Linked DNA regions of Rhinolophus ferrumequinum. The protein of the gene in region 1 interacts with the protein of each later gene in a biochemical or structural test. Links are inferred from orthologs where the notes say so. Each region holds a gene or a part of one and is shown in the gene's direction. Other genes may lie near its edges.

The links. The genes of interacting proteins can lie anywhere in the genome.
Region 2: the proteins of histone H2A type 2-C (region 1) and UBR2 form a complex in vitro, tested with the Homo sapiens proteins (2 studies listed by BioGRID, with this or other methods). The link is inferred for Rhinolophus ferrumequinum from reciprocal best matches to the Homo sapiens genes H2AC20 and UBR2.
Region 3: of the proteins of histone H2A type 2-C (region 1) and RNF8, one has a biochemical effect on the other in vitro, tested with the Homo sapiens proteins (2 studies listed by BioGRID). The link is inferred for Rhinolophus ferrumequinum from reciprocal best matches to the Homo sapiens genes H2AC20 and RNF8.
Region 4: of the proteins of histone H2A type 2-C (region 1) and KAT2A, one has a biochemical effect on the other in vitro, tested with the Homo sapiens proteins (2 studies listed by BioGRID). The link is inferred for Rhinolophus ferrumequinum from reciprocal best matches to the Homo sapiens genes H2AC20 and KAT2A.

The regions. Positions count from the first base shown.
Region 1 is NC_046305.1:50,348,008-50,352,844, forward strand, and holds histone H2A type 2-C, read left to right. Parts: upstream 1-3,908; 5' UTR 3,909-3,944; coding exon 3,945-4,334; 3' UTR 4,335-4,335; downstream 4,336-4,837. Other genes in the region: histone H2B type 2-E, read right to left, coding at 3,235-3,615; histone H2A type 2-B, read right to left, coding at 4,495-4,837. UniProt on the Homo sapiens protein: Core component of nucleosome. Nucleosomes wrap and compact DNA into chromatin, limiting DNA accessibility to the cellular machineries which require DNA as a template.
Region 2 is NC_046286.1:12,147,210-12,154,156, forward strand, and holds the start of UBR2 (E3 ubiquitin-protein ligase UBR2), read left to right. Parts: upstream 1-3,933; 5' UTR 3,934-4,346; coding exon 4,347-4,424; intron 4,425-6,947. UniProt on the Homo sapiens protein: E3 ubiquitin-protein ligase which is a component of the N-end rule pathway.
Region 3 is NC_046286.1:7,412,195-7,420,106, forward strand, and holds the start of RNF8 (E3 ubiquitin-protein ligase RNF8), read left to right. Parts: upstream 1-4,898; 5' UTR 4,899-5,040; coding exon 5,041-5,151; intron 5,152-7,912. UniProt on the Homo sapiens protein: E3 ubiquitin-protein ligase that plays a key role in DNA damage signaling via 2 distinct roles: by mediating the 'Lys-63'-linked ubiquitination of histones H2A and H2AX and promoting the recruitment of DNA repair proteins at double-strand breaks (DSBs) sites, and by catalyzing 'Lys-48'-linked ubiquitination to remove target proteins from DNA damage sites.
Region 4 is NC_046304.1:37,969,323-37,976,597, reverse strand, and holds the start of KAT2A (histone acetyltransferase KAT2A), read left to right. Parts: upstream 1-4,261; 5' UTR 4,262-4,285; coding exon 4,286-4,720; intron 4,721-4,853; coding exon 4,854-4,977; intron 4,978-5,320; coding exon 5,321-5,466; intron 5,467-5,572; coding exon 5,573-5,662; intron 5,663-5,948; coding exon 5,949-6,130; intron 6,131-6,219; coding exon 6,220-6,411; intron 6,412-7,275. Other genes in the region: RAB5C (ras-related protein Rab-5C), read left to right, coding at 256-349, 881-996; HSPB9 (heat shock protein beta-9), read right to left, coding at 2,638-3,120. UniProt on the Homo sapiens protein: Protein lysine acyltransferase that can act as a acetyltransferase, glutaryltransferase, succinyltransferase or malonyltransferase, depending on the context.

The DNA.
Region 1 (4,837 bases):
ATTGCATGTCAATTATACCTCAATAAAATTGTTTTTTACAAAAGTAGAAGTGGGTATGGTAGAGAAATGAGTTAAGAGGTGTCATTTGAGCTGGAAGATATGGGCTTGGCTTGAGAAAAAGCCCTGGCCAAGACAGAAGGAAGATGCAGTGCAGTCCAGTACCGACCTAGGAAAGAAAACGTAGGTTTAGGGGAAGGTAAAGAGACCATTTTAACTAGAGCAGAAAATTAAAAAAAAAAAAAAAAAAGAGGGCCTTGCATATTAAGCTTTTTCAAATCATGCATTGGACTGCAGTTTCAACAGTTACTCCCTAAACAATCCTGGACAAGTTATTTTCCTGGACAAGTTATTTACCTTCTCCGAGAGTCAGTTTCCTTTCTCTATAAAGTAAGGATGATAACAATCACCTATCTTAAATAGTGGCTGTTTAAGATTAAATTAGGCAATGCATGTAAATCACTTGGCAGAGACCAGGTAAATAGTTCGGTGCTCAATAAGTAGAAGGAATTATAACAATTATTGACCCCAACATCAGAAAATGTATACAGATGTTTGAGCAGGAGATAAAAGTGATCCAAGAGGTTATTTAGGAGGAGTCATCTTACCATTACTAATTAACTCCCTTCTAGAGCTGAAATACCAAACTCTATCACCTCTAACCCCTTCCTCACTCTAACTTCACTGGTAGTAAACACCATGCCCTGGAGGAGCGCACAACCAGCAACTAATGTTACCTCCTGTTAGCGAAGGGATTCCAGCTGGTAAGTCCCACCACTGAGGACAAACTAAATTGCGTTGAGCTATGGCCTCTGGAATGGAGAACCAGAGCACCCCCCAATCCCATTCTCAAGGCCACCACCAGCATAGGTATATATTCAGGGTGCATTCTGAAGAGAATAAAACCAGGTGACATTTATTTAATTTTAAACCACAGATATTCCCCCCTAGAATCCAGGGAGACACCCAGGATTTCAGTTACCTGATTTTCTCAAGTCCCTTAAACACTGAACTAGGAATTTATCCTCTGGAGAGTTTCAGAGAAGAAGGCTCTCTGTGCCAGTTTCATCATCTATAAAATGGGAGATAATAATGGTAACTACTTTATGAGGTTCTTATGAGGATTAAATGAGTCAGAATGTGTAAAGGGCCTAGAACATTATGTGGCCCATCGTAAGTGCTCTGTAGGCTAAAATTTTGTAAGGACTTTATTTCTTCCATCTTGTTTACAATGCTTATTTGTGATCATGTATTTTTCAATTACTAAGCATTAAGTGTCCTCATAACAGGCTAGCCCAATGCACCTCTGAGCTACAAGTAAGTTTGGTTAATTGGTGGCTTATAAATATTCATCCTCCAAGCTTTCCCACAGACCCAGTAGTGGTTGGATCTGCTAATTTCATTTAGTTAGAAATATATTGCAGATAAAAGAATTTTAAATTAACTGGTAACTTTATTAATAACCATATCCTCTACACACATCTGAAAACACACATGTAGGAAACAAGATTTATTCAGTCTATGATAATGTCTGGAGTCCATTTGGATTCATGAAACCCTTACAGTGGGCTCCAGGACCCCTTAGGCAAAAGCAGAGTTGAGTACCTGATCAGACCATCAGTGTCTTTATCAGCAAAATCAAGGTTTAGACAGAGATTCAACATTCTGTAATTACACAAAATAAAACTAAATTGCAACTGTCCTCAGTTCTCGGGAGACAGAAGTGGACAATGTTAGCTGCATGACCAGTGGACCGATCACTTTGCTTCTCTCAACCTCATTTGTAAAAGGTAGCATATTAACCTTGCATATCATACAGATTGTCTGTCTTACGTGGTCTTCGAAAAACAAATGAGATGGCTAAGTGCAAATTAAAGCTCATCTCAGTGTGGAACAGAGGATGGGTGCAGGGAGTGGGGCAGAAAAGAAGGGAAAAGGGCCTTTCCAGTGACCAACTCTCAATGTACTGAAAACCCAAGAGATTACGCTAAACTGAGAAGCGTTAGAGTAAAAGGAAGACCTACCATTGCCACGTCCTCTTTCCAGCAAAAAAGAATCTTAACATGGGCCTCCTCTCAGGTGTTGCCCCGAGGTGACCATGGACGACAGCCTTGGGGAAGGAGCTCCAAAAACATTTCCATTTTCATGTCTTCACATACATCTAATGGAAATGAACCGCACCCATCCACCCATCCATGGAAGTGATTAGAAGAAAAGGGTGCGATAAAAAAATTTAACAAATATTAACATCAGTAAGTATTTAAGTGTCCACTATGTGCCAGGTACTGATTGGCTTTGGCGATATAGCCAAAAAACAGACCAGCAAAGTCTCTGTTAAGGGCATAAGAAAAAACATAAACAAAATAAACGAAAGAGAAAATTTCTGACGGCTGCTATGAGGAAGATAAAACAGTGAAGGACCAGGACAGGCAGGAATGAGGAGCGCAAATTCCTGAGTGGATAACTTGGGAAGGTCTGAGAGGTTAAATTTGAACCCAGACCTAAATGACCAGTGCCTTTAAGTGACCCGAGTCCAGAACCTTTTGAGAAAATTAAAAGCAAAAATGAAACACAAGAACGAGAAACAATAGGGATTTCAAAGCCGCAAAGTGAGCAGCAGAAACCAGAATCTATTAATTCCGAGGGGCGGCGCGGGATTTTGAATATTCACGTTGTCCAATCAGAGAAGGGCTGGGACCTTGGAAGCGCAGACTCCGCCGGAAGTGCTCGGAATCGCTGGTGTCCAAAGGAGGCCACATCGCAGGACACAACGGATCAGCACCCAAGCAGCTGCCGAATTCTCGGGAGAAACCTTCCTGGCTGTGACGCAGTGTCCGCGAGACCCGGGCTTAGTTTTGTCCTGGGACACTTTCTTAAATGAACATGACCGAAATCACTTCGTTTAAAACGCCAATAAAATATACCCAACAGAGCCACCAAGACGTCTGGGGCCGGAGTAGGAGCAGATTCCCGATACTAATTTAGACCTGATTCAGGAAAAGCAAAAAGCACAGGAACGGGTTAAAGACGTGCCCTACATTCAAGAGCCAAGTCACGTAGGCGGAACCTCAAAGCAGGAAAGCTTAAAAACGTATGTGTTCCGCGATCTTTATCCTAACATAACTTATGAAAAGATGAACGCAGAGAGCTCTTTTCTGAGTAGGTGGGTGGCTCTGAAAAGAGCCTTTGGAGTCAAGCGGCTGGCCACTCATGGGAGCGCCGCGTCCCGGCAGGGACTCACTTGGAGCTGGTGTACTTGGTGACGGCCTTGGTGCCCTCGGACACGGCGTGCTTGGCCAGCTCCCCGGGCAGCAGCAGGCGCACGGCCGTCTGGATCTCCCGGGACGTGATGGTGGAGCGCTTGTTGTAATGCGCCAGGCGGGAGGCCTCGCCGGCGATGCGCTCGAAGATGTCGTTGACGAAAGAATTCATGATACCCATGGCCTTAGACGAGATACCGGTGTCGGGATGCACCTGCTTCAGCACCTTGTACACGTAGATGGAGTAGCTCTCCTTGCGGCTGCGCTTGCGCTTTTTGCCATCCTTCTTCTGGGCTTTGGTGACTGCCTTCTTCGAACCCTTCTTAGGCGCGGGAGCGGATTTTGCCGGCTCAGGCATTATCAAACACACAACACAGCTTGGTAAAGAAAAGGAATGAGATAATGGGCGGGCATGATCCTTTTATAACCACTGTATGCAAATTAGGACTCCAGAAGTCTTTCGTTTCTATTGGGCTACGCAGGGACCTGGCGTTTCCAGTAGTAGCTACGTAACGACACTGACTCTTGACCCAATTGGTCGTTTCTGGAGCCAATTTAGAACCAATGAAAAACTCATTCCTGACCCCTCCCCTAGGAAAGCTTATAAAGGCTTTCGAAGTGCTGATTTTTCAGTCCTGTTTCGGTGCGAGGTTCTGAGATTTAGAACAGTTGGTTTTGTGTGTAGTCATGTCTGGTCGTGGAAAACAAGGAGGCAAAGCTCGCGCTAAGGCCAAGTCGCGATCGTCCCGGGCTGGTCTCCAGTTTCCGGTGGGGCGAGTGCACCGTCTGCTGCGCAAGGGTAACTATGCGGAACGGGTGGGGGCTGGCGCGCCCGTCTACATGGCGGCCGTGCTCGAGTACCTGACCGCGGAGATCCTGGAGCTGGCGGGGAACGCCGCCCGAGACAACAAGAAGACGCGCATCATCCCTCGTCACCTGCAGCTGGCCATCCGCAACGACGAGGAACTGAACAAGCTGCTGGGCAAAGTCACCATCGCCCAGGGCGGCGTTCTGCCCAACATTCAGGCAGTTCTATTACCAAAGAAGACCGAGAGCCACAAAGCCAAAAGCAAATAAAATGTGACAAAGTAAACCAAAGATCAAAGGCTCTTTTTAGAGCCACCCAAGTTTTCAAAAAAAGAGCTAATGCGCTGTTGTGGTCAGCCCCTCATTTGACACTCGAGTGGCTCTTAAAAGAGCCTTTTGGGGGGGGGAGGACGGGTGTCAACCATCTGAATTACTTGTTCTTGCCAGGTTTGTGACTCTCCGTTTTCTTAGGCAACAAAACTGCCTGGATGTTAGGCAAGACACCTCCCTGGGCGATAGTGACACCCCCGAGTAATTTGTTGAGTTCTTCGTCATTTCTCACGGCTAGTTGTAAGTGGCGAGGGATGATGCGAGTCTTCTTGTTGTCTCGGGCGGCGTTGCCCGCCAGTTCCAGGATCTCCGCGGTCAGGTATTCAAGCACGGCCGCCAGGTACACGGGGGCACCGGCCCCCACCCGCTCCGCGTAGTTGCCTTTGCGCAGCAGGCGGTGCACTCGCCCCACCGGGAACTGCAGGCCTGCGCGTGACGAGCGC
Region 2 (6,947 bases), on another chromosome or scaffold:
GACTTCCATGCTCCAGAACTGTAAGAAAAGAAATTTCTGTTGTTGAAGCCACCCAGTCTGTGGTATTCTGTTACAGCAGCCCAAGCAGTCTAATATAGGGTCCCACCCCTCTGACACATTTTCTTTCTTTTGGGTTGATCATTCTCTCTGGAGAAGACTCTCTCAAACTCTTGCCTGGGAGGTATAAGCCAGCCACTGGTGTTCTCAGAGCGGAAGGAGAAATGCACTGGGGTGAACCTGTTCAGTGTACGTATAGACTTTGAATTAGTGTCCTAATATTTAGCTCAGCATGCCTGTCCTTAGCCTGCTCTCTCCCAGTCCAAAGACCCTCAGCTATAGTCTCTCCAGAAGATAAACCTCCAGTCTCTTCCAGGGTTGGAAGATAGGGTGATCTAACTTCTTGCTACACAGACTTTCAAACAATATTCTTATTTTTAGCATTGTTTCACCCACTTTCAGAATTAAGTGGTGCTTCAAATTTCTAAGTCTTTCAGTGGTCTGCACATGAATCAGCTTGATTCTGGGTTGCTCTGCTGCTGGCTTAGGTTTCAGCACTCTCTAATTGCTATGTCAGTTACTTCTCATCCATTTGCTTTCCATCTTCCAAAATTTTGGTGCTGTCATTCCCACTCCTAGTCTATCTTACTTCTTCTTCTTTCCCGCCCCCCCTTTATTGTCAGGAGGTAGTCAATATGCCAAATTTAACTGAAAGCTAGAGCTTAGGTTTTAATGCCCATATGGGAACATATGACCAGACCTTGGGTCCAAGAAACATGAATTGAAACTGAGATCCCTACATACAGCCAAGGTTTTCAAAGGAATGTAACATCAGTGAAAAAACAGACTAGAGAAAAACTCACTCACCATCAGAGGGAAATGACAAGGAAGATTTTAACCTTGACTCTGAGTAGGAAAAAGAACTCTCCCTTAAGAATTTAGAGACAAATGCCACACAATTGATTTAATACTATTAGGGAACCCCAAAGCCAAGAAACTGACATAGAAATTGGTCCTGAGTATATGATACTCCTAGAGTGCCTGGTCGGAGTTTATGGTGTTTCTAGAGTGCCAGACCTTACAGAAGCACATGAAAAACTATTTTGAAGGTACATGCTCTTAAGACAGGCCTCTCAAGAGTCCCACAGCTAACGTTAAGTGAAAATGATCTCAAAATTCATAATTACAAAGCACAAAGGAAACAGTAATTGAAATGAAGATTCGCGCACACACACACAAAAAGTAAGATTATATTCCCAAGATCTCTGATGAACACTACTGAAAAAGCATATTTAAAAGTATTAAAGATATAAAACAAATACTTAGAACCATAAATAAATAATAAGACATTATGAAAGTACAGGAATGTTTGAAAGTGAACTGAATATAATTTCTAGAAATCAGAAATGAAGTCAATGAAAATAAAAACTCTAGATAGGGCCGGCCGGTGGCTCAGGCAGTTAGAGCTCCGTGCTCCTAGCTCCGTGCTCCTCAATTCCCACATGGGCCAGTGGGCTCTCAACCACAAGGCTGCCAGTTCAATTCCTCGACTCCCACAAGGGATGGTGGGCAGCGCCCCTGCAACTAAAATTGAACACGGCACCTTGAGCTGAGCTGCCGCTGAGCTCCTGGATGGCTCAGTTGGTTGGAGCACTCCCTCTCAACCACAAGGTTGCAGGTTTGACTCTTGCAGGAGATGGTGGGCTGCGCCCCCTGCAACTAGCAACCGCAGCTGGACCTGGAGCTGAGCTGTTCCCTCCACAACTAAGACTGAAAGGACAACAACTTGACTTGGAAAAAAAAAGTCCTGGAAGTACATACTGTTCCCCAATAAAGTCCTGTTCCCCTTCCCCAATAAAATCTTTTAAAAAAAGAAAAAGAAACTCAGTAGATAGTTCAATATCAGGCAAAAAGAGAATTTGCACACTAGAGGATATATCCAGAATGTAGCACAGTTAAGTCAGGAAAAATGAAAAAGAGATGAAAAGTCCTGGAGAATACAGAAAAGGAAGTCAAACAGAACTTCCAGAAGGAAAAAAGAGAGAGAATGTAAGAAAGGTAATATTTGAAGAACTAATGGCTCGAAGAGTTACTTAACCATATACCCGAGTCCACAAATCAAATGTCATCAAATACCAAAGAATCTATATCATATAGATGGTGTTTTCTGCCCACAGTACGATACAGTGAGAAATCAGTAATATAACAAAGCCACACATATTTGAAAATTTTAAAACACATTACATGGGCCAAAGAAATCATAATAAAATTAGAAAATATTTAGAAATGAGAGATAATGAAAATACTATATACCACAATTTCCAGAATGTGTTTAAAGCAGTATATAAATGTATTGCTTTAATGAATCTGTGAGTCTCAAATCACAGATTTGACCTCTGGGTCCCAGGCCACCCAGCAATTTGAAAGAAATGCAATTGTTAAGCCTCTACCCAAAACATACTGAATCAGAAATTCGGAAGGTGGGGTCAGAAATCTGTATTTTATCAAGGCTTCCCAGTGATTCTGATGCATGCTCAAGTTTGAGAAGCACTGCCTTAGATGTACATACTGAAAAAAAGAGAAAATTTAATAGCAAACATCCAACTCGAGAATTTAGAAAAAGAACTTGCAAATCAATCCAAAAGCAATAGAAGGAAGAAAATAATAATGTTAAGAGCAGAAAATTTCTTTACAATCTACTTTACTGACTTTAATTCTATGTTAGGGGCCTTAGAGAGGTGTTATCTTTGCGTCTAGGTTGGAACAACCCCAGTTTTCCTCCAGGTTGACTCTGACTAGGGAGTCCATCAACGCAAGGAAGCTGGGCAAAAAAGAAAGTAACACATAGAAGAACATTTCAAGATAATCTTATTCTAGGTATCTACACAGATATATGCATAGAATCCTAAGAAAGCATTAAAAATGATTTTCTTTGGGGAGAGCAATTTGGGGTAAGGGGGGATTTTTTATTTTTCCTTTAAAAATATTCCTATTTGGTTTGAATTTAGAATCTTATATTACTTTTCATTTTAAAAGTGATAATAAGGCTTATTTGGACTATGAGGTTATGGGCAATTTTCATTTCCTTAAAAAATACTTGGTTAATATTATAGTATTAACAACAATAACAGAAACATGTCCCAAACCTGGACTGACTCAGAATTTTTTTTTCCCCCTAATGTAATTCACAGTTTCCTTCCGAGAATAAATTAGCATGCCTGATAAAAATATGTCAGGAATTTCCTGATAAATTCTAAGGGAATTGAAGACTTGTTCTAAGAAATCCACTCATCCAACTGTCAGTCAAGACTGAGCCTAATTATCTCTAAACAAACATAATTTTCTTTTGTATCTAATCTAAGGATTATCTATTTCTGTAAAACGTTCCTATCAAGAATACAACTTAGAATCGGTTTGCTAGACTCCTTTCCTTTGCAGCAAGATTTGTAATAAATTTTGATAAGTGGTAATAACCAAATTGTTCAGAAATGTTTTCTTTAATAGCAATTAAATATGTTTTAAAACCTTCACAAACCAGGGTAATGTTCACCTTGATGATGAGTCTAAAGGATGACGGGATGATGAATGACAGGGATCTAGAACTATAGGAGTAGAATGGAATTCATTCAATTATCCGAGAAGTATTTGAGTGCCTACCATATACCATATACGAGGCTTTGAAAAATACTCCAGTGTCCACCACGTGCCAGGCACTGCCCTAGAATCTGGGGCTACAAAAATGAACAAATGGGGTTTTGGGGAATAAAACTACAGTTCCCACAATACCTTGCTCTTCCGCCTTTTCCCAGGTGGTGGCTTCTTTCCATTATTCTCGTCCCAGGATTCTATAATAGAAAAGCCCCGCCCGCTCATCGACCCTTGCCCGTTCTCTCGTTAGGAGATGGACTACAACTCACACAAGGCCTTCGTGGGCGTAGCCTGGAAGGGCTCCGCTGCTTCCTGGCTGTGCCGCGGCGGACTACAGTTCCCAGAAAACTTTGCTTCCCCTCTTGGGTGTTATTGCCGCTTTCCCGGTGCGGGACACGGTAGCAGCGAGCGAGTGCCAGGCCTGTGGTGCTCCGTGTCCTTCCCCGGGGCAGGGACAAGGCAGTGACTTGACTCTTCTTGGGCGCTGAGCCGGGGAGGGAGCGCAAGGGGCCGCCGTCCCTCGCTGGCCGGCTTACCTCCCGCTACTTACTCTCCCGGCTTCTCCACCCGCCGCCGCCTGGACGATTCCGGACCGACTGCCTGGGGCAGAGGAGGCGATATCGGTCGCCGGGGCTGTGGCGAGGCCGCGGCCCTTGGGGCGGCGGTAGCGGCGTCAGCGCTGGGGAGGAGGAGGAGGGAAGATGGCGTCGGAGCTGGAGCCGGAGGTTCCGGCCATCGACCGGAGTTTGCTGGAATGTTCGGCTGAGGAGACCGCGGGGGTGAGTGCTGGGACCCGGGCAGGGACGTCTGTCCCCTGCAGGCCGAGCCCCGTGGGAGGAAACGACTCCTGGAAATCCTGGAGCGGCCCCGGCTCTCACTTGGGGTAACCACTGCGCGGGGCTCCCCGGCCTCCCCTGCTGGGGAGCAGCCGGGGGAGGCCACCGATCCTTCCCCATCTTCCCCTCTTTATCCTCGGCTAGCCCGCAGCTTGCTCTGTGCACCAGCCACCTTTACATTCCTTGTCTGCCCAGGAGAACCAACAGCTCTTCCATTATCCCACTTTCCCCCCACAGTCCCCTTAAGTCCCCAACACAGGGCTTTTGCCCTGTATGCCGGGTCCTGGAATAGGGCAGGGAAAGGCACTTCCTGGTGTTTGGGGTACAGCCGTCCTCCTTTATCTTTGTGATGCCTATTCCTGAGATAAGCGGAGCCTGGGCTCCTCCACCGAAACATGCTGCCTTCACCAAGCCCCTACTTTGTTTCCGGGACGGCCCTGAGCATCAAAGGATGCAGGCGACACAGTTGTCCCTCGTCCCCCTCGTCCGTGCGTGTGGACGCCGGTTCGCTCAGGCGACAGCACTGATGAATGTGCGGAAAGCCGTGTCTCGACTGAGGGGAAGAAAGTAGTGGAGGCTGGGAGAGCCAAAATATCATTCTTCTAGGAGTTGGGGGTCGTTGGGTGGAGAACAAACGTTATATAACTTGGGGAGAGCAGCTTTCACCAAATATTACAGAAGTTAGTAATGTGAGGTTTGGTCACAGCATAGCGGGAGCAGTTATGCTCCAAACTTAAACCTTTCCAACCCAGTATTGGACTGAAACTGTAACATGAACGTGCTTGTGTAAGGCACAGAGTTGTACAATGATTACTTGAATAAACTCGATGGCATCTGCCTTCAAGAACTGGGATCAGCCATTGGAACAGATTGTCCCGAATGATTATGAATGGACCAAAACAACTTCGGCCCCTCCTCTAAAGCCTTGGATTTAAAAAGCTACTAGGAAGGGAGTGACCTTTGAACATAAGTCAACAATTTGAATGTTATGAACAAAATTTTAGTGGGGCACTGTGGAGCTAGTGAGAAGTTATTTTGGGTGAATTGATGAGGACACTAAAGTCAGAGTGGAATAAGTGACAGGAGAGGTGAAAAGCCCTTGCTTGTTTTGTTTAAACCAACTTGTTTAGTCTAGGTCTGTTTTCATTTACTTGCTGCTTAATATTGCAATAACCCAAGGCTTTTCAGTCCCCACCAGCCTTTCATTTATCAGAGATTTGGAAAAGAAAATGAAAGCAGTGTTACAAGTAAACAGTAAAATGGTAATCAGGATTTTCTCTATCCCTGTGGCCCCCTATTAAGATCCTTATTGAGATCCAATCTGTGATTTACCTCCAAGTAATTTTTTTTTTTTTACTTCCATCGAATTTTGTGAGTGTTGGCCCAGTGATACAGGCTATGCACTCTTATTTTCCCAATTCTAAAAGTGCAAACTACCAACCAAGTGATTCAAGTTGCAATTTGTTGAGGTTCCTGATGAGATCTGTGGCAGAGACCAATCAATGCTCCTAGTTCTTGTGCAGTGAAATTCTCAAGCAGATGCAGCAAGGGAAATGCAATAAAAATTTATTAACTTGGACCTAATTTGAGTTTGTGAGGAGGTACGTTTTACTTTTGCTGTTTACTTTTAAATGGTTTTCTGAACAAAAAGATGAAAAAAAAATGTTTAGTCTGAAGGCTAACAAAATTCCTTAAAGAAGATTGAAAACTAATATTAAAACGTAAGGTTCTTCCAGCTACATAACCCGGCCTTTCTTTGTGAAGGGTTTATTGTCTGTATTTAGTTAAAACAGCGTAACACTTAAAACGATTCTTTTAGCCTAGGCTCCAGGATGGCTCTTTATCACAAATTAAAATGAATGAATAAAGTTTTCTCAGGTTAGAAGTAAATTCTAGAGAGGGTAAACGAGTAAAGAAAGCAGCTATTGCAGCCTTTAGACCTCTGTTACTGGTAGTTTGTTGGGATCACATCTATTTAAAATTACTTAATAAGCACTAGTGTCATTTTCCCCACACTTTGTTTATACACTGCTTCTCTTCTATTATGAGGAAGAAAGACTTTTAACTAGTATGCCTCACAGATAAAAGTGTTCTCATCAATAACTAAGTTTAGGATATTAAAGTGGCCCTCCCTTCTCAGTTTTCTCTTTTTCTTGGTAGAATTGATTCCACAAGTATGACTTTCCCAACACTTCTCAAGTCTACGTTGCATGCTCCCATGGATTTGATTATAATGTGTTCCAGTGGATGATTAGGATTTAAGAAGTTAATATATCGTTTTTCCCCGAGTATTAAAGAAATACATATTCTTATAGAAGTTTTATGTAGGTTTGTATCTATTGGTTATTTTTTTGCTTTAAAATGTTTGAATTTTATATGTAATTCAAATACACAATTATCTCCATAGATTTTCCAATTCAGGACATTTCTTGTAAATTTCACTTAACCAGATTTTCAAGATTCATT
Region 3 (7,912 bases), on another chromosome or scaffold:
AGCTGGAAAGAGGCAAAAGGCCGGGGTGACTCATGCTCAGAGGCCTGGTATTGTCTAGAGGAACCTTCATTCCCGTGTCTGGCAGTTGATGCTGGATGTCTGTTGGGACCTCCGTTGGAGCTGTCAGAACATCCTCTTCATGTGTTCTCTCCACTTCCTTACAGTCATCTCAAGAAGGAAAATTGGAAGGGAAGGGGAGCAGAATGTAGAAAAGCAAGTAGGGTGTTCTCTATAGCTGTGGATCTGACATACGTCTCATTACATATACTCAAGTTGAGGAATGTTAGAGTTGAAAATGGAGAAGCTTGGGGAAGGGGAAAAGGAAAATGACACGAGGAGGAAGCTGACTGGGTTCCAAGAGCGTCCCCCAAAGGCCAGGTGGAAGCTGTAACACCTTTAATGGCATAGCATCACTTCTCCTGGAGTCACATGCCCACCTAGATTCAAGGGGAGGAAGTATAGACACCATCTTGCAACGTGAGGAGTGTCAAGGTCACCTTGTAAGAGCACGTGGCATGGTGATCTTGTTGTATTCATCTTGGAAAATAATCTGCCACACTTTCTTTCCACCTTTCTCTCCCCCTTTCCTTTTCATCTTGCCATGTGCTTCCTCCTCTTGTCATTTTCCTTTTCCCCTTCCCAAGCTTCTCCATTTTCAACTCCAACATTCCTCAACTTGAGTGTATGTAACGAGACATGTGTCAGATCCACAGCTATAGAGAACACCCTACTTGCTTTTCTACATTCTGCTCCCCTTCCCTTCCAGTTTTCCTTCTTGAGATGACTGTAAGGCAAGGTTTCTCAACCTTACTGCTACTGACATTTTGGACTAGATAATTCCATGGTGGGGGCGATCTTGTAATTTGTAGAATGTTTTGCAGCATCCCTGCCTTTTATTCACTAGATGCCAGTAGTACCCTTGCCTCTGTCATAATCAAAAACATCCCCAGGCATTGCCAAATATCCTCTGGGGGGCAAAATCACCCCCAGTTGAGAATCACTGTTATAAGGGAATATATAGGGGCAATAGAGTTAATAAAATCCCCAAATCTTAGAAGGCAGTGTCTCCAAACTGTTTTGATCATGTACTCTTAGCAACAAAACAAAATCTGAGCACAGCCCAATATATATGCATATTTATTTATTTATTCATATAAAGTCTATACATACTATCCTCTATGTTGTTCTTTTATGTAAGTACAAAATATTCACAAAAGTGACATATTTAAAAGAATGGGATAAAAACCTAATTAGACATCCTGATACATTCTTTCCACAAGAAAATGGATCATCTTGTGTACTCTCTGGGATATGGCCATACCACCTTAGAGAGTACTGAAAGACGGTAATGAGTGCTGCCTTAGGGGCTAGATAAGTCCAGGCTTACAGTCTTGGCTTTAGTTCCCTGCACTGCCATTTACTAGTTGAGTTATATTCATTTGTTCAATAAAAATGTCAGGAATACAATGGAAAACAAGACACAACCCTCAAGAAGCTAATGGTGGGCAGCCAGATGGCTCAGTTGGTTAGAATGTGAGCTCTTAACAACAAGGTTGCCGGTTCAATTCCCACATGGGATGGTGGGCTGCGCCCCCTGCAACTAAGATTGAAAATGGCGACTGGACTTGGAGCTGAGCTACGCCCTCAACAACTAGATTGAAGGACAACTTGGAGCTGATGGGCCCTGGGAAACACACTGTTCCCTTTTATTCCCCAGTAAAATTTAAAAAAAAAGAAGAAGAAGCTAATGGTAAGGAGACCTTGGACAACCTAGGTTCCTCATAGGTTAATAGGGATATCTTGCAGGATGGAACTGAGAATTAAGTAAGATAATATATAAAAGCATGTAACAGGTGCTCAAAAATGGTCCCCACTAATTCACTGTAAGGCTGTTTGTGATAACGAAAGACTGGAAAGACTCAAACTATACATCAACAAAGAACTGGTTGAATAAACAATGGTACATCTTCACCATGGAGTAATACACAACTATAAAGAGCAAGGAGGAATACATGTATATATGGCTAGGGACTGATTCCAGGATATATTGTTAAATAAAACAAGCAAGGTGTGGGAGGGTGGGAGAGAGGCCTTAAAATTATTCTCTATGATAGTATAATGTGTGACACTATGCATTTGCCAAAACTCATAGAACCTTACATTAGAAAGAGTGAACCTTAATGTACATAAATTTTAAAAAATCATCTAAGAGGTCAAGGGATCTCAGATAGAATGCAGGCTTTGACTAAAGAATCTAACTAGAAAATAACCTCTCTGAAGAGGGTGGGGGGAAAGGGTGCTGACCTAAGTAACTCTGTAATTGAATTCTGTAAGACTAAAGGCAAAATACCTGCACATACGTAGTCTAACTCTAGTTGATAAAGTTGTTGCCCACAGGTGTATGGGTTAACAATTCTGAAGCCCCTGTGCACACATACTGGAAATGATAATTAAGTAAATGGATAGCCGATGGTGGGAGCCAGGTTTCTCACGTTTGGAGTGGAGGATTACAGACAAGCAAAGGGGGATGACTAGAATGATCCAGGTGCCAGGTGACAATACATTAGAGTTATAAGAAATCAGTATGCACACATTTAGATTAAAGATGGAAATGGGGAGTTGTGTATATTTACGAGTAATCCTTTGCTTTCTTTCTCCTCTTTCTGGAACCCCTATGATGGAAAGATTGTTATGCTCATATGCATATGTATTTATATTATTACATACATACATAAAATATACATGCATACACACATAAATATTCATAGATATGTGGACATAAAGGGGTTAGTATTCACACATATTTTTCCTAGATCTGTCAGCTGAGAGCCTACAAGTAATGACATCCCAGCGGCAACAAGCACACCTAGTACCCAGATCTTGGTTTCTGATACCATTTTCTAATAAAAGGAACCAGGGATCCTTGGGAAAATGGCTGATTCTAGGTTTAGAGGATCTTGTGCCAGAAAGTAAGGAAGTGCTCAATAAAACATAATGATGGGAGTATGTATGTCAAAGGGACAATGTAGCTAAAGTAGGAACAATTTGATTAAAAAATAAAGTGGTATTGGATTATAACGCAAAGTATAAAGTAAGTATCTATGAGTCCATACTGCTATAAATAAATAATTCAATAAATAAATGGGGGAGAAAAGACAAATCTCCTGTGTAGAAGAATTTCAAATAACTTACATGGATAACCTGCCCTTAAGGAAGTAAGGCGTAACTGCTCACTCCTTAAATGTGGGCTGTGCATAATGACTTCACTCCAAAGAGCAGAGTAGGGGAAAGTGGGTAAAGAGTAACTACACTACCTAAGCCACGTGATCAAGATCAACATCAACAGCAATAACTGGCGTTGATAACTTTTACCCTTAACATGATCTGACGAGAATGGCATTTTACCTCTGTAGTCTTCCTTCTCAAAACCTATAGCCATAGTCTAATTACGAGAAAAACATAAGAGACATCCCAGTTGAGTGACATTCTACAAAATACCTGGCCACTACTCCTCAAAACTGCCAAGGTCATCGAAAACAAGAAAAGTCTAAGAAACTATCACAGCCAAGAAGAGCCTAAGGAGACATGCCAGGTAAATGTCAGGATGGCCTCTGGGTGCACTTGCTGTTCCTGGGACAGAGCACTAAGGTGGGGTACAGGCACCAACAGATACAAATCCAAGCTTAGGGAATCATCTGTGTGAGAGTGCAGTTATGGCACCCACTAAGTTTCCTGACCCTTTGTGACATCACAGGCCACAATTCTTCATCTGACAGTGCCACACATTTAAAACGCTCCAGGCTGGAGTTGTAACCATGATTAGGAAATTAGGTTCTGGAAACAGTCCTCAACCAGCATCCTACTCCACCCTTTGTTACTTTGGGAAGATTATCAAACCTTTCTGTGTCTCTTTTCACATCACCCCTAAAGTAGAAATTACAATTGTAACCTTTATAATTATATTGTTAGTGAGGAGCAAATAAGATAAAGCATGTAGGGAGCTTAGCCCAATACTTAGCACTTAGCTCTCGATAAATGTTAGCCATTTACTATGGTAGTTTTTATGATTCACTTATTGTATGTATTTTCTCCTGACAAAATTTAAGAAAATTGTTAACTACGTATTGAAAAATTGAAAAGACATAAAAGGGCGTTGAGTTATCACTGAGGAACTCACTACAGGGAGCAGCTATCACACTATATTGGGGAATCAAAAGAAGGAGTTTGAGGGTTTTTTCTTTTCTTTTTTCCCCATATATATCTTTTTTTCCATCTCTTTATTTTTTGAGCTTTTTTTAAAAATTAACAGCTTTATTGAGGATAATTTACATACCATAAAATTCATCCACTATAAGTATATGTGTGCTTCAATGACTTTTTAGTAAATGTACACAATTGTGCAATCATCACCACAATCCAGTTTTAGAACATTTCTATCACCTTCCAAAATTCTCTCAAGTCTGTTTGCATTCCATCCCTGTTCCCGCACCTAGCCCCAAGTAACTGATTTCTGCCTCGATAGATTTGCCTAGTATACGTTTCTTCTTCTCCTCTTTTTTTTCCCCTAATCCAGTAGTAAAAGGAGGTCATGCAAAATAGATGCTATTTAGGAAAAGATTTACTATTCAAAAATTACCGCAACTTTAACGTTGTTTAAAAGATGGTTTTTGAGGCGGCAAAGACTGGGGCGGTGGTTCTAGAGAAGGCGAGGAGAGTCAGACGTGAGAATTAAGAATCCCTCGCCCGACCCCCACCCCACCTGGGCTAGGTGCCTGCACACCACCTGAGGTTACGTAGCTCCCTCTTCGCAAGCGCCAGCCCGGCCGCAGGCTTTCTCTCGCGCAGGCGCAGTGATTCCGGCTTGCTGGCCTGGGGCGGGATGGGCGCGGAGCCCCAGCGAGTGTTCGCACCGATCGCGAGCGCGTAGCGATTACTTCTGTCTGTTGTTTAGGAATGGCGCCGTCAGGGAAGCTGGAAGGCGGCGGGTACCCGGATGGAGGTCTGGCTCTGTACTGACCGAGAACCAGGGTCGAGTGGGCTATGGGGGAGCCCGGCTCCTTGGTTATGGGGGACCGCGCCGGTGGCCGGATCTGGTGCTTGCGGCGGGTGGGGATGAACGCCGAGAGGCTGCTGCTGGAGGATGGAAACGAGGTGAGCGGGAGTCCTCTTGAGGGAGGGGAGTGAGAGGAGGCCGGGCCTGGAGGGATCCAAGGCGTCCGGGCCGGACGGATAAATGGAAAAGCGGAGGTGGGAGCGGGGAAGAGGAGCGAGATGTGAAGGTCTTTGGGTGAGAAGGTCCGGTGCGAACGGTTGGTGGTGGAGGGGAAGGGTTAGGTGGGGGGTGCTTGGCGGAAGTAGGGACCGTTTGGGAGAAAAGATGGCCTCTTTGACAGCGGCCTAGGCCTGAGCGGCGAGCTAGGGCGGGAGTCTGGGTTGAGGGAAGGAGCCGGGTGGAGGGGCACAGCGAGAGGGGGTCGTAGAAGGATGTGAGGTAGACTTGGGGTTTCGAGGGGAAGGAGGCGACTGGTTTGGGGAGAGGATGGGACCTCCCCATTTTGGGTCGCACGCAGCCCTGCGGGGCCCAGCCCCGGCGGCGGAACTGTGAGGCGGAGTTGCCCCAACTTGCGCCAAGAGCGTGAACTTTCTCGAATTTATTTTGAAAACAATTGCGAGTGTGGGGTCATGTCCCTTAAAACACTCAAACTTTAAAAACGCCTCCTTTCCAATTCTTGAGGAAAATTGGCTCGGGGCGGGGGGGTGGGCCACATTTATCCTGTGAGTCTCGGTACTGCCGAGTGTCACCCGATGAACTGGGTCGGGGGTAGGAATTAAGAAACATAAGAGCTCGCCTTTTCAGGAGCAGCTTATATTGTTTGCTAATGCTGTCATAACTGCAAAAAAAAAATATTAAAGCAGAAAATTGAAGCAGTTTGTTTTGGGGGCCGCTAGGACGGGGGTGGTGATTCTAGAGAGGGTGATGGAAAAGGAAGGAGAGAGAGTTGAAGAGAGCTGGATTAGGGACCAGCTTGTGGTGACAGGGAACCATTTGGGTTTTGGAAATAATTTGTATGGAAAATAAAGTCTTGACTGTTATGTATATTTAATTAGATTTTTTCCTATAAACTGGGTAATCTCAATTTAGTCTCCCAGGTATTTACCGAGTACTTAGGTTGCTTAGTGTGCTATGAGAGAGCCAAATAATGGCTTCTGCCTTCAAAGAGTTTATGGTTTGAATGGAAGAAAGAGGATTTTATACAGAGGAGGAGACTGAGAACATCCAGGCAAGCTGTACGATCAAGTGCCAAGATGTGGATTATTTAGTACCATCCTGGAGCATTGGTTCCTCAAGTCAGAGGGATTCAGGTCCAACCTTCAATGTTTGTGGATCAGAAGGTTATAGTTACTTGTATGCTGTGATTTGGAGAACACCAGGAAGACGCCTCCACCCCCAAATCTCACTTCATTCTTTTAGCCTGAGCCTTGACCTTTCTCTGTGCAGCCCTTTCCAAAATCATATACGTCTGGGAAGTTTCAGAAGAGACTAACACCTGAGTAATAGTAACTATATTTTGTATAGGGTTTGGGCTTTCACATAATTACTTAATCTGAGCCCTACTCATGTACTCCACACCCACACACAATTTAGGGGTCAAGAAGTTAACTCATTCTTCAGATTCAATTGCTGTGGATTATTATTTCTGAATAGCTTTGTAGCACTGGGAGTCTTGGTGTGGGGAGGGGAGGATAGGAAGAATTAAAGCACCTGCAGCAAGAGCAAAAGGACTAAAATCATTCCTGGACATATTTTAAACTGTTGGATAATTTTGTGTGGGACAACCTCTCTGGGTAGAGAACCATAGGAAACAGAGTGAATGGTGAAGAAACATGTGGAGGACTCATAAGGAAGATCTCTTTGTTCTTTCATTCATTTACTAAGCATCATGCCAGGTGCAGAAATACAATGGTACACAAGACATAAGGTCCCTGTTCATGAAATTTATATTCTAGTAAGGGGGAGAAAGAAAGAATTAAAATGAGATTAATTTTGAATTGTGTAAGTACATGCTAATAACATAAAGGAACAGGTAGCACCTTTAGATTGGGTCATCAGGGTAGGCCTCTGAGGAGCTGAAATTTGAAAGATGAGAAGGAGCTCGTGCACATGTCTGAGAGAACAGTGTCCTAAGCCGATCAGACAGGTGAAAAGACCCTCAAGTACCAGGGAGTGTTTCTGACCATGGTAGGAAATAAGTCTAAAGAGGTGGAGGGGTTAGGACATTCAGGGCCTTATAGGCTATGGGAGGAAGTTTGGATCATTGGAGAATTTTAAGGAAAGAAAGGAAATGATCTGAATTAAAATTTTTACATTACCACTGCCACTGCTGTGTGAAGAATTAAGTTTAGGAGGGCTAGTATAGGAGCAAAAACAGCGTAACTGGAGGAGGAGGCCAAGTTGTTTGGACTAAGGTAGTGGCCATAGAGATAGAAGTGAACAGATTTAGGACATATTAAATTACAGCCAGTAGAATTTGCTGATGATTTGAATGTGGGCATGAGGGACAGAGAAGAATCAAAGATGGCTTCTGAGTTTTGAGCTAAACAGATGTTTGGATGGTATGTCAGTTACTGAGATGAAAGTTTGTGGGGGAGAATAGATTGGGGCAAGGAGAGTCATGGTGGTCTTTGAGGGACTGAGGAGGACAGGCATGATTCTGAAAGATGTTCAAAAACAAAGAGGGCAGCTTTTAGAAAACCACAGATGGGGCGACCGGTTGGCTTAGTTGCGCAGTGCTCAAAACGCCAAGGTTGCCGGTTCGATTCCTACATGGGCCAGTGAGCTGCACCCTCTACAATTAGATTGAAAACAACGACTTGACTTGGAGCTGATGCATCCTGGAAAAACACTGTTCCC
Region 4 (7,275 bases), on another chromosome or scaffold:
CATAGGGAAACCTGAGTAAAACATCTGCCAGTGTTTGTGAGCTGAGAGGTGCTGTACCTGAGTGGGGGGTATGGGGCCAGATGTCTCAGAGGAACCCAGAGCAGGAGTGCTAGCAGCCTGAAAAGCCCCTGCACAATGTTGCTATTGTGTATAAGGCACTGTGATCAGGGAAGATTTTTTTTTATCCTGGGCCCCAGCCCCTACCAACTGTCAACACTTCCCTCCCACCCACTTTCTCACCTCTATCCAAATCAGGAAGCACAAGCCTATGCAGACGACAACAGTTTGCTGTTCATGGAGACATCAGCAAAGACCGCAATGAACGTGAATGAGATTTTCATGGCAATAGGTGAGCTGCCTCTCCTCCCGTCCCCACATTGGGGCGTAGAACCTGCCTGCTGCTCCGTAGTAGGTCCCTTCACCACCAGATCTTTCACCATTTTTAATATTGTGATAAAATCATTTTCTTCTTCATCTGACTCTCAGAGATAGATAGTTCACTCCAGAAGTTTCTAAAGCCTGGGCCAAAGTCTCAACATTTCATTTCCTGACCTCTTAGCTTGCCACCCATCTAAAACCCTGTGTCACCATCCTACCCACTTCTTAGGATTTTTTTTTAGGCCATTTGGCTCTGGAGTCATCCTGCCTGGGTTTGAGTCCTAGCTCTACCACTTACTAACTCTGGGTTTGAGCAAGTCATTGAACCTCTCTCTGCCTCAGTTTCCTGAAACACTCAGAATGCACCTGACACATGGAAGTGAAGCCCTCAGTATGTTCATTATTACTGATTGGGTGGTAAAGGCCAGATTCTACTCAAGTGGACTTGGGAAACAGTATTGGCCTACCCCCACAAACATTTTCTCCCTCCTCTCCCAAACAGCTAAGAAGCTCCCCAAGAACGAGCCCCAGAACGCAGCTGGTGCCCCAGGCCGGAACCGAGGTGTGGACCTCCAGGAGAACAACCCAGCCAGCCGGAGCCAGTGCTGCAGCAACTGAGCCCCCTTGCCCACCCACTGCCCCCACCTCCTCCGCCTGAATGACCCGACTGGAATCCACTCTAACCAATCGCACTTAACGCCTCGGGCCACCACTGCGGGGGCAGGGGGAGGGGTCCACCATGATTTCACCATATAATTTTGATCATAGGCCGGAGTGAGTTATTCCACCTGCACCTTTCTGTACAAATACTAATTCAATTTTAAGTCTTAAGTCACTTTTTTAATATATATGATCTTCTGCTCTTCCCACTTCCTGCCCTTTCTACAGCTCTCCCACTCTCCCTTTGCTGGTAGTAGCCACCGCCCCTGTTCCTCCCACCCGTGTATATGGGGAGGCAGGGGTGGGAGCAACTACCCTCTTTTCCTCTTGCTGATTAGCAGGGTCAGCAAGAGCCTTCACATCCTTACCGTGTTTGGGGTGGGCTTGGTTCTGGGTGGTGGGGCAGGCCCTGGGGCTAGGGAAGGGAGAGGCAGCTCTCCCTTCAGCTGCCTGGCATCAGGCTGCAGCCCCCCACCCCCACCCTCCTACCCCTGATTCACAGATGGGAGAAAAACCACAGCATTATTGTGACAGCCACGAACCCACTGCCCACAACCCACCCCACCCTCCTCGTCCTTGGTCACCCTGACCGACCTCTGGCTCTGAGCCCTGTTCTGACCAAATCACGATGATGAGTATTTGGGGGTGGGTGGGTAAGGGGGGTAGTGGGAGGGGATGGAACCAACTTTTTCTGTATTTTGTATTGTATGTTTTCTTCAACATGTAACCAATCAGTATCTTGTCAATATAGTCAGCCGATCGATCGACCTCCGCTTGTCTCGCTTGTCTTTCTCTGGCAGAGCTTATCAGACCATATCCTCTCTGGCTTACTTTGAGGTTAATTTACAATGAACCACTGAATTTTGTTAAACAAAAGCCCCGCCCACCCAAGTGAGGAGATGCTGGTGCTCATGGTAACCAAGAGAAAGAGGCCCTTGGTTACCGGTGCTACTGCATGGGGTTGGGGTAAGAGTGACTTGGAACTGAATCTCACCGAGTTTGAAGAGGGTCCTACATTTGCCTCTCCCCCACCCCATCCAGATTACATTGGGGTGATTTGCAGTCTGGGTTTGAAAATAATTGGTCTCTGAAACACCAAAAAAAACTCTGGGGTCTTTGGTTACTCTGTACCAGGCCTGTGAGGGACTGGGTCCTCTTCCCCTCTTCCCTGAAGAGGAAGAAACACCTATGACCTCTGGAGCTTTGGACTGAGCGATGGTCAGGCCCAGACAGCAGCTTCACACCAGGTCTAAGCCATCTGCTCCCTGGTCTCTGGGGAGCCCTCTGCCGGTTCTGGAACCAGGTGACACTCTGGCCCTCCCGGCCCTCTGCTGCTCCCTGCTGGCGCTGCTGCTCTCATCTGCCAAAGGTTGAGGATATTGGTCCAAGCAGTGAGCTGAGCTGAGTAGGACAACACACCTCCAACCCCCACCCCCAGCTCCCACCAGGGCCACAAAGGCCTAATTCTTGGTGGACCACCACCTTGAGGTGCCTTTCTTGCCTCCCTCTACCTTCGTTATACCCCCACCTCTGACCCCAACCCTGATAAAAGACCACAGACGCCAAGGCAGCTGCTCACTAGGGTGGTGGTTTACCGGGTCAGGCTAGGTTGGAACCCTTCTTAGAGCCAGGGCTCCTGAGTCTCGAAGATGGACTTGTTAGGGCTCTAGGGGAAGGCAGCGCCTGGCACTGGCCACGGACACACAGCTGGCCCGAGGGGGTCAGACAGCAGGTCATGGCTGCAGGATCCAGGTATGATGGTAGTTGCATTTGCTGCTGCATCTTCTCTGTCATGCAGTAGCACCCCCCATCCGGGTTGTGGCCCTCCGTTTGCCGCTGTCCCGTCACCATCAGGCACTGGCCGTCCACTCGCACCACCAGCTCCTCTGGGGTGAAGCCGTGGGCATCCATCTTCATCCGGAAACCATTCTCCACCTGGATATCGTCCCACGCAGCTGCCACGTCTTCCCTGAGCAGCTGCACCGGCAGTACGGCCACTCGGTTCTGTTCGGCGAGGGCTACGCTGGGGGACCGCGACATCACCTGGTTCCCTTTGGGAAGACTGCTACTGACCCGCTGCATCCAAGTGAGCAACTGCTGTTCAAGGGCGCGAGGCCCAAGTGTAGTGCTCTACGCAGGACACAGGAGAGGAGGGACCCTCCTGCGCCACGCGCGGCTCTACTCTGGCTTGGCTCCACTCCCACTCCTCGCGGCTCAGCTCTGTTCAGTGGGGCTCCCTTCACTTAGGCAGTATGGGGTCAGCTACGCATGTCCTACATCCATAGGTCAGGTTGTCAGCCACCCTGGAGCGCCCCCTACTGCTTTTATCCTGGATCCTGCCCCTTCTCGGGACCCTCCCCATGGCCGGCCTGGAGCCCAACTGGGTATCCTAGGGGCAAGAAGATTGTCCCTTGGACAGAGCCACTGGAATGTGACCACTGGATCATCCATTCTCGGAATGTCCTGCCTTTCTCTGACCAGGCACAAACCTGTGACACATTGGGGACTGGGAGGTGGACACAGTCTTCCTGGCTTCCCTCATTTATCCATGCTGGGCCTACTGTGCGGCAGGCTCAGCTGGGTTCTGGGATCACAAAGATGAAGACGCCGGTCCAACCCTCAAGGTACCGATGGTATTGGGGAAGAGACGTTACCAAACGTAGGGAAAGGCTTCTGCCCTTGTCTGCTTCTACTTCATACCCTCCTTGGCAGCCTTCTTCGTGACCACAGCCATGCCTCTGGTGCTGCTTTATAATAAGCCCTTTTTGTGGAAGTATAACATACGTACAGAAAAGCACACAAAAGGGTACAGTTGAAGTATTCCAAAGAGAAATACACGTGTGTAACCACTTCACATATCAAGAACTAGAATTGTTGCTGCTGAATCTCCTCCGTAGCTGCAACTCTGTCTCTGAAGACATGTGGGACAGGAACAGGATGGAGGGGGGAGGGAGATGTACCAGGAAGCCAACTCGACCCCAGACGCTAGGTCTGCACGTCCACCATCGGGTCTTGGGAGGGAAGTCCCCCAACCAGAAGCCTGTTTTCTGGGATGCTTCTCCTTATCCCCAAGAGGACAGCAATCTTGACTATCCTGGAAGCCTTCAAGAGAGATTGAAAATGAAGAGGGGTTCAATCTGGGGTGCTGGCTTGGGCTTCTCTTGGCTGTCTGGGACCAAGAGACAGGATAGAAAAGTCTGGAAGCTGGAGGCAAAAGGAGCAGCGGTGGAAGACTACAACTCCCATAATGCTCCGAAGCAGCGACGCCTGCGCACTGAGCGCCGGTTGCCCATGCGGCCCTAGGGCTGGGAGCGCTGCGCCGCGCTCCGCTGCGGGGGAGGCCATGGCGGAACCTTCCCAGGCCTCCACCCCGGCCCCGGCCGCGCAGCCCCGTCCCCTTCAGTCTCCAGCCCCTGCCCCAACTCCGACTCCCACCCCCAGCCCGGCTTCGGCGCCGACTCCGGCTCCCACTCCGGCACTAGCCCCCGCCCCAGCTGCAGTCCCAGCCGGGAGCACCGGGACGGGGGGGCCCGGGGTAGGAAGTGGGGGTACTGGGACCGGGGGGGATCCGGCTCGACCTGGCCTGAGCCAGCAGCAGCGCGCCAGCCAGAGGAAGGCGCAAGTCCGGGGGCTGCCGCGTGCCAAGAAGCTTGAGAAGCTAGGGGTCTTCTCGGCTTGCAAGGTGGGGGCGGGGCCTGGGGTGAGAGGGCGGGGCTTGGGACATCCTAGGGCTCGGGTGGCAATGGGAGCCCTGGCTCGGAAGCGGCTCCACGTCCCTGGGGTACAAGTTTATTGACTGATCCTTCTGCCTCCAGGCCAATGAAACCTGCAAGTGTAATGGCTGGAAAAACCCCAAGCCCCCCACTGCACCCCGCATGGACCTGCAGCAGCCAGCTGCCAACCTGAGTGAGCTGTGCCGCAGCTGTGAGCACCCCTTGGGTAAGGCAGATAGTGCCTTGGAGCTGGTGGCGGGGAAGAGGCAAGTGCCTGGTGCTGCTTGGAGAGGACGACTTCAGTGCCGCAGAGCTTCATCTCTTAAGATGCCTTCTAAGGAAGAATTGGGTTGGGAATGTGTATCTCCCCAGGGAGGAGAAAGGAAATCTGCCAATTCAGAAGAAACAAGGGGTCACCCAAGGGCTGACACACAGGAGCAGTCAGTCTTAGTGCTGGTCACAGTGGTTGAAGAGACTGAGAGTGTATCATAGCTGGCGATGAAGAGGGCCAGAAAGCCCTGTTGATGTCTTCTGTCTATTCTTCCCAATTCTACCACCTGTTCTTGTAGCTGACCACGTGTCCCACTTGGAGAATGTGTCAGAGGATGAGATTAACCGTCTGCTGGGGATGGTGGTGGACGTGGAGAATCTGTTCATGTCTGTTCACAAGGAGGAGGACACAGACACTAAGCAGGTCTATTTCTACCTCTTCAAGGTGAGCTTTCTCCGCAGGAGAGTGAGCGAGCAAAGGAATTGAGGCTGGGAAGTCTGCATCTCAGAGCTCTGCTGACCTCTACGCCTCCCTCTTCCTCTTCCTCCAGCTCCTGCGGAAATGCATCCTGCAGATGACCCGGCCCGTAGTGGAGGGGTCTCTGGGCAGCCCCCCATTTGAGAAGCCTAATATTGAGCAGGTGGGATGAAGAAGGGGGCAAGAGAGTTGGGGGCATTTGGAGGAATGGGGAGCCTGTGTTCTCCATCCTCATCATACTGAGAACGGGAGAGGTTCCAAGAGGGGAACATGTGTTGTGCCAACCTCAGGGTGTGTGTGGGAGGGGCACAGTTTCTCTTCACATAGAGCTTCAGAATGAGAGGAGAGCCTTGCCGCTGCCCTTAGGAAGCCTCTATTTTGGGATAAGAAGCCCCTGCTGGCTGCTCACACCTCCTTCCTGGTTTTGTCTCCTGCCCACCCCTTCTCAGGGTGTGCTAAACTTTGTGCAGTACAAGTTCAGTCACCTGGCTCCTCGGGAACGGCAGACGATGTTTGAGCTCTCAAAGATGTTCCTGCTCTGCCTTAACTACTGGAAGCTTGAGACGCCTGCCCAATTTCGGCAGAGGTCTCAGGCGGAGGACGTGGCAACCTACAAGGTCAATTACACCAGGTAGGCCCAGCCAGCCTGGGGGGAGCTTGTAGGCCCAGCCTGAGTTCGGTGGTTTCCACTCTCACTTGCCACTTCCGCACTCCCTGCAGATGGCTCTGTTACTGCCACGTGCCCCAGAGCTGCGATAGCCTCCCCCGCTACGAGACCACTCATGTCTTTGGGCGAAGCCTTCTCCGCTCCATCTTCACTGTTACCCGGCGGCAACTGCTAGAGAAGTTCCGGGTGGAGAAGGACAAGCTGGTGCCCGAGAAGAGAACCCTTATCCTCACCCACTTCCCCAAGTAAGGCTCTTTCTGGTCTATCGTGATTTAGCCCCGAGTTCACATCCTCCCTGATGTCCCCTTTTTTCTAGGAAGGCTTCCTGGATTGGTCCTTCCTCTCCCTCCATGAGCCTTCTGGGATCTGGGCATCTACCTGGCAGATGTGCCCATGGGCCAGACACAACTTGCTAGCATTTGCCTTTGTGTGTATTAGGCTGGGGATGGCAGGTACATGGCCTGAGTGCTAACACTAGCCCTGTCCACACCCCTGGTAGACGTTACTAATTGTTTCCATGGGGCCTGGACACAGCCTCAGAATCCTTTCTACCACAACACTTCAAAAGACCAGAGTTTACGCTTGAGGTAAAACCAGTTTCCACTCCTAGTTCTTTCAGTAAGATTTTTCTCTGTTCTGCCACACCTTCTTCTCATTTTAAACGTGCTCATAGCTGTCCAGTTCAAGAAGCTTTTACTGACTAATCCAGGGCCTCCAGTGCCCCTTCTGCCCCCAGATGGGAATAAGGTGGCAGGAAGGGGTGGATTCTGGGCCCTATTTTGGCGCTGAGGACGAGCGTGACTTGGTGCCCTGTCTGGCCACATAGTACAGGACGGTGCCAGTTCAGCTCCTGTCTCCCTCATCTGTGCACTGGCAGACTGGGCCTCTGGTCTCTGTCTTGGATTTTGTACTGCCCTTCTGCCTTCGATGAGGGTCTCCCAGAAGGAGGAGGACTGTGCCTCCCCCTAATCTGAAGGCAGAAGTTGTCTCTGTTCTTAGGCTCCCAGTTCCTGAGAACAGGATCTGTTTCTTTGATCCACGTCCAGTGCCCCGGTGTCTGGCCCAGGCTGGTCCCTTGGTTGGACAGAGTGTGGGACAGACTGTCCCCT